2 linked regions of the Cricetulus griseus genome follow. The protein of the gene in region 2 binds, or shares a complex with, the protein of the main gene of each other region. Links are inferred from orthologs where the notes say so. Each region holds a gene or a part of one and is shown on either strand. Other genes may lie near its edges.

What was found. The genes of interacting proteins can lie anywhere in the genome.
Region 1: Tprkb (region 2) and EKC/KEOPS complex subunit GON7-like share a complex: the UniProt entries of both Homo sapiens proteins name them as parts of the EKC/KEOPS complex. The link is inferred for Cricetulus griseus from reciprocal best matches to the Homo sapiens genes TPRKB and GON7.

What each region holds. Positions count from the first base shown.
Region 1 is NC_048598.1:103,312,456-103,316,746, reverse strand, and holds the start of EKC/KEOPS complex subunit GON7-like, read right to left. Parts: upstream 2,801-4,291; 5' UTR 2,739-2,800; coding exon 2,531-2,738; intron 1-2,530. Other genes in the region: putative E3 ubiquitin-protein ligase UBR7, read left to right, coding at 3,004-3,153. UniProt on the Homo sapiens protein: Component of the EKC/KEOPS complex that is required for the formation of a threonylcarbamoyl group on adenosine at position 37 (t(6)A37) in tRNAs that read codons beginning with adenine.
Region 2 is NC_048601.1:74,424,875-74,427,533, forward strand, and holds the end of Tprkb (EKC/KEOPS complex subunit TPRKB), read left to right. Parts: coding exon 1-119; intron 120-1,456; coding exon 1,457-1,633; intron 1,634-2,069; coding exon 2,070-2,144; 3' UTR 2,145-2,159; downstream 2,160-2,659. UniProt on the Homo sapiens protein: Component of the EKC/KEOPS complex that is required for the formation of a threonylcarbamoyl group on adenosine at position 37 (t(6)A37) in tRNAs that read codons beginning with adenine.

The sequences.
Region 1 (4,291 bases), on a different chromosome or scaffold from region 2:
GGTGGCGGTGCACACCTGCAGTCCCAGTACTTGGGAGGCAGAGACAGCTGGCTCTCTGATTCAAGGCCAGCCTGGTCTACAGAGTGAGTTCTAGGACAGCCAATGCTACTCAGGGAAACCCTGTCTTGATCCCCCCTAAAAAACAAACAAACAAACAAAAAAAGGGGGGGGGTAATGTATCTTTGCATACACTATGCTTCCTGGCTCTATTCCCTAACTCACTGCAGGGAGCAGGGAGCAGGGAGCACTAGGATTATGGGCACATGGCAGTACATGGGTTCTTGAAGCCAAACTCACAATCCCATGCTTGTGCAGCTCTACCCACTGAGCAATCTCCCCAGCCAAATACTTTATTCTACACAATGAATACTATTCAACAATTAAAAGAATGCTCATGTTTTACTCTGGTGATGGGCAGTTGTATTATTTTGATTTCACAGCTATTAATGAACAGTGCTACTACAATTATTGAGTTTTGGTATAAACATATTTCCAATTAACTTTGGAGAACTAGTGGTGTAACTGGGGTACTATAGTTTTTGCCTGCTTGCCCTTACTCTGACTAGCAAGTTCATCTATCTATTCCTGAGACACCTCTTTGCTGGTGTTATAACCTACTTTGCTGGGACTCCAGCACCAGATTAGGAATGCTGAGGCATCCAGTCTCAGAGACTGAACAATTACTGGATCCTTGGTGTTTCTGTAAGGAGAAAGCCACTGTTGGACTATTCAGACCACAGGCTGTAAGGGCACTCTAACAAAGATATTCTATCAATAGGTTTTGCTTCTTTAGAGAACCCTGACCAATGCACCTAGCTAATACTTTATTATTATTATTTTAAATTATTATTATTAAATAATAATATTATTATTATTTCAAGACAGGATTTCTCTATGTAACCCTAGCTGTCCTAGAACTCGTTCAGTAGAGCAGGCTAGCCTTTAACTCACAGCCTGCCTCTGCCTCCCGAATGCTGGGATTAAAGGTGTGCACCACAACCATCCCCAGATTTTACTTACTGTTCTTCTTAATGACAGTCAATAACCCTATTATAAAGAACAGTACAGTTTAATCTCCTCTGTAGAAGAACTGACTCCTTAGCTCAGAGTAATGAAATCTCTTTTGTGTTCAAGATTAAAAATAAAATTTAACAAAGGTCAGGTTTGGTGGTGCATGTCTTTAATTCCAGCACTGATGAGGCAGAGGCAGGCAGATCTCTGCGAATTCAAAGTCAACCTGGTCTAATCCAAGGCCAACCAGTGGTACCCTGTGACACTGTCTACAATTTTTTTTTTTCTTCTATTAACAGAGTTGGGGCTGGAGAGATCAGTGGTTAAGACCACTGCCTGCAGGGGTTCTGATGCCCTCTTCTGGCCTCGGAGCACACTGCATAGAGCAGTGGTGCACAGACACAAGTAAGCGGCAGGCAAAACATCCACCTTGTTAAAAAAAAAACCAAAACCCAAAAAACTAACAGTTTATTTCTACAACAGTAGAGGGGGTGAATGATAGTAGGGGCTAGAGGAAGGGAATGGCTGTGGTGAAACTTTCTTTTGACCATGACATGGCTCGGACACAGGGGCAACAACTGTGGTTACCTGAACGAGACGGCAACCTCAACAGGGGCTCATTGGGTCCCATCCCGCCCGGAGGAGTTTTTGACAGTTAATGGGTGCTGGGGGAGGAGCTGACGTTTTCTTCTGTGGTGTAGTCACCGCTGAGTTGCCCTTGCTCCAGTAAATAACCATCCACCCCTTCTCATACAAAGAACCTTAAACTCAGTGAGAGACAACAAAAAGGAAGGCAGAAAAGAAAGCGGCGTGTGTGTGTGTGTGTGTGTGTGTGTGTGTGTGTGTGTGTGTGTGTATGTGTGAGTGTGTGTGTGTGTGTGTGTGTGTGTGTCATCGGGAATGGTTCAAGCAGGGGACGAAAGAGAAGGAGAAAATGACCACAGCGCATTACATGCACGCATGAGACTATCGGTGACTTTAAAACACACACCCACACCCACACAGCAAAACCGAAACCCCCTTATACTTTCAAAAACAGACTCGAGAAAGGACCCTCTGAGGGTTAAGACTCCCCACGACACAGTCGGTCTCGACCTTCCGAAGCTGTGCCCGCTGTGCCAAACAGGTTTCTAATTTCACACCTGGGGAAGACTCCCCCCCACTGGCGCCACGGGCCGCCCCTTAGGTCTTCCTTCCAGCTAGCAGCGACTGCAGACCCCCAGCCCAGCCCACCCCCCACGCCCCCAGGCTCCACTCTGCGGGTCTCAGTCCTCCGCGCCCCGCAAGACGGGAGGCGTCGGGCTGACCCGGCTCCCTGTCCAGCCCCCAGGCAAACGCTCGCCACGCTCTTCTGGCTGAGGTGAAGGAAGAGTCGTGGAAAACGCGGGGCAGAGAGGGCCAACCGTTTTCAGATGCGAGCCTTCCTGCTCGCCCGCGCCGGCCGGCCGGCCAGACTCGCTGTGCCAAGGCTGCCAGCCCTTCCCTCACACAGCCGGAGACCCCGGCGCCCCGCGCTCACCCTCCTCGGCGTCCTCCGGATCTGCCGTCACGCCCTGCGCGTCCCGCTGCTCCACGAGGGGCCCGAAGAACTCGGCTACCAGCTCCCTCATCCGGGCCACACCCGCCGACAGGCTCTGGAGAGGGTCCGCGTCGCCCGACGCCTCACAGGACACTTGCAGCCGCCGGGGCTCGCCGTCACACCCGACGTACTCGCCCGTCAGCTCCATGGCGACCCCTTCGCTTCAACGGCGCGCCACAGAGAACCGCCACCCGGAAGCGGAAGCCACCCCGCGGGCCGGCGCGGGCGGGAGAGACGGGTAAAAGGCATGACTTCCGACTCCCGGCACCCGCCCCGCCCATTTTCTTCCATCTCCACCTTTACCATTGGCTGCCTGACGATCAGGCCCCGCCTCCTCGCGACGCCCCCCCCGCAGGCGGTCCCTTTTCCCGCCTCCGCCTGGGCCGCGCCGCGGAGCGCTGTGACAGTTGAGGATGGCCGGAGCGGAGAGCCCCGCCGGCTGCCCGGCGGAGCTGGAGCCCGTGGTGTCGCTGGTGGACGTGCTTGAGGAGGACGAGGAGCTGGAGAACGAGGCGTGCGCCGTCCTGGGCGCCAGCGACTCGGAGAAGTGCTCCTACTCGCAGGTGCGCGCGGCCCGCTGCACCCGCCGTTCTGCTGCTTCCCGCCCGCGGCGGCGGCGGCGGCGGCGGCGGCCGCCCCGGCTCCAGGGCTGCCCTTCACCCCGGGCTTCCACAGCCCCGGCCGGCCCTGCGGCCCTTTGATCCTCAGCTTGTCGCCAGCAGGGCTCTCCCTCCGCCCTGCCCGAGGCTCTCTGCAGGCTCCGGTCCCCGAGCAGCAGCAGCAGCAGCAGCAGGAGCAGCTCTGCCCTCCTCGTTGTCGCCTCTTGGTGGCCTGCTTTCCACGAGCTCGTCCTCGTGACTTCTCAAACCACCCCGATATTCTTCGCCCCACTCCTTCCACTCTTAAAGAAGCTTAATTGGGCACCAGGTGGGGGGGGGAGGGTGAGCAGAGCTAAAGGGAAGTGGGCTGGATTTGAAAAATGTGCCCGTGCAGTCTAGTTTAACTGCTAGCTGGTTTCTTTCTTTCTTTTTTCCTTCCCGGTAAAGTTCCGAGTGTATGTGTTGTGTGACAGACACCCCTTCTCCCTCCGGAGTAGATCGGAACCAAAACATCATGTGACCCTGGAAAGCCGAGAGAGGAGGAAAGGATCTGCTTGGCGCCTGTGCGACCTTGTAAACAAGAGTTGTTTGAGGGCCGGTGATGTAGGGTTTAGTGACGCATCCCGTACATCTAAGTACAAAAGTGGAGAAGGGTGGGTAGGAAGGCACCAACAGGATGAGAATTGGTGGAAGGAAGCAAGCTAGCTATGCCCGTGGGTGGAGTGGAAGACTGGGGAAGGAGGGAAAGAACTTGGAGTTACTGTGTGGTGTGGACTAAAGTCATAATGCTATTTGTCTTCGTTAACCAACTTGGGTTTGCACTGCAAAATTGTTGGGTTGTGGAATTAAATCTTGTATCCCAGAAATAGTCGCAGATGGTCACTGGCATTTAAATCAAAGGATCACCACTAAGACACACCCCACTTCCTTGGAAGGAGGAAAGAAAGGCTCCAAGCCTCTGTGTGAGCTGTTTCTTAACACCATTATCTTTATAAAATGTATTAACTAAGCATTTTTGTTGTTGGAGATAGGGTCTTATGTAAATCATACTTGCCCTGAATTCCTGATTCTCCTTCACTTGACAAGTACTGCTGGGATTGCA
Region 2 (2,659 bases):
TCGATCCATTTCAGATACTTGTGGCAGCAAACAAAGCTGTTCATCTCCACAAACTGGGAAAAATGAAGACAAGGACTCTGTCTACTGAAATTATCTTCAACCTCTCCCCAAATAACAATGTAATGTGGTGACTGACTTTATTTCTGTTGGTCTTGTCATTGTAGAATGTGCCCTCCCCCCTGTGTAGCAGTGGGGGCCGGGTTCCTCCAAGCCAGCTGTTAGTACTAAGCCAAAATAGTTTCATAGAGAGGTCTAGACAGCCATTTAGTACTGCAAGTAGCTGTGGAGTCAGTTTCCTGGTCAAAGGTTAAAATACTTGAGGATGGTATTATCTGCAATGCCCATATTATGTTAAGTAGACCCCTGAGCAATTTTGCTTAAGAAACTGGAAGAAACCCACACTATAAAACATGAGGTATAGATACATTTTGTGTCAGTCTCCCTGTAAACTCCTAGAGATGGGCTGTGTGTCTTTTTTTTATAGTCAGTACCTGGAACTTTCTGTGACCTGGTAGAGCAGTTGATGCCTGCTCACTCACACACCCAGGGCATAGAAAAATTCATGGTTTGAAACCTTCATAGGAATGCAAACCCCCCCCCCCACCTCCCAGGTTTGGGTGTGTGCTTGAATGTGTGTGTGTGTGTGTGTGTGTGTGTGTGTGTGTGTGTGTGTGTGTATGTGTGTGTTGTATGTGTGTGTATATGTGGTTGTGGTACACAGATTCATGTGTGGGAGTGTGGGGGCCTGAGTATTACAACATGATTGTGAAGGTCTAAAGGACAACCTCAGATGGTCCTTGCCTTCTACCTTTTCCAGACAAAGTCTCTTTGTTTTTCACCACTGGGTACACCTGGGCTTCAAGCTTCTTGGATTCTTCTGTCTCCACCTCCTATCTTGCTGTACCAGCACTGGGGTTATAGACCATTGCTGTTGTACCTGACTTTTCATGGGCTAGGGATTTGAACCAAGATCCTCACACTGGCTTGACAACTGCTTTACCCACTGAGCCATCTCCCCATCCCAGGAGTGCTTATTAAATGGGAGTTGTTGAGGTGATGACATTCTGTGTGTGACATGGAAAAAGATGCCTGACCTCAGCTGATGAGGTCCCAGTATTACTGCTGCTATTAGTAACAGCCAGGTACTAATATCAAAGGGAAGATTTGGAACCATATGGCAAGAATTAAATCACACTTGGTTGCAAAGTTTATAAAATGCAGTCAGCATGGCAACAGAATCCCCCATTAATAGAACCATTGGAAATAATTGAAGACACCATTCCTGATCAAGACGAAGTTCTAGGGACAGAAGAGACAAGTGTGATAGCAGTTGCTGGAAAGGGATTGTAGAAGGGGAAAGTATGCTCTGAGAAACAGGGAGGCTGACGAGCAGGTCAGAAGTATTCCAGACAGAAGACACTGACTCATTTGCCTTTTTTTTTTTTTTTAATCATAGATTTCAGAGGCTTTGAAGAAATTTGGTATCTCGGAAAGTGCCACTTCAGTTCTCATTGTTTACACTGAAGAGGGAGAGAAACAAATAAACCAAGAACACCTAGTATCTCAAGTGGAAGGCCAACAGGTTCCTTTGGAATGTCTTCCAGAAATAACAAAGCTCTCAGAAGTCAAAAAGGTTTGTAATACACGTTTTTTAAGAGTTCAGTAGTTGAATTATACTGATGCTTTTTGTTCATCACTGTTAAAAATTTTGAACTATTCCATTAACTTTAGTTAGCATACAAGATAATGGTTTCATTACCTTTTCACAAATCCTATTACTGCTTTTACTCATATCTGCCTCCTCTCATATTCCCAATATCCTTTGAACTTTTAAGTAATAGTATGGGCCTGGAGAGTTGACATAGCAGTTAAGAGTCAGCAGTTATTCCAGAGGACCTGGGTCTGATTCCAAGTCCGTTCATAACCATCTGTAATTCCAGTTCCAGGGAATCCGATGCCTGCTCCTGGCCTTCGTTGGAACTGCACACACATAGTACACATATATAGAGGCCAAACACCCTTACAAGTAAAATCAAGAGAGGTTTAGAAATATTAAAATAATTTTGCAGATACTTCATAAAAGAAAAGAACTGGGACCTACAAGTTTGTGGAATGTAATTTGGAATAGAGTCACAGAACTGTAAGAAAAGGGATCTCTTTCAACATTCAGTGACTGTGTGAGTTGATATCTACATGTGTACTCAAAACTGATACAAATGGGATTTGTGTGTTCAAGAAATTTGTTTTTTTATATTAATACTTACACTTAAAAAGGATATTTGACATGTGTGGCAAATAACCACCTGCTTTGAACACTTTAAACATTGTGAATGAAACCATTAATGCCATAATAAAATGGTAATGCCACGTGGTAATGTATATGTAATAACCGTGTATGGACTTGCCAGCACTCATAGATTGTCATTCACTTTTACAGATATATAAACTGTCATCACAAGAAGAGAGTATCGGGACATTATTGGATGGTATCATTTGTAGGATGTCAACAAAGGATGTTTTATAAGATGCCCAAAACATCAACAGAAAAATCTGAGTTAATCACCAGCTGTTTTTTTCCTGGTTATAAAATTAACATATCACTGAAAATGGGAAAAAGAAACCACTACTAGCCCTATTTTGTTTTCACTTCTTAAAGACA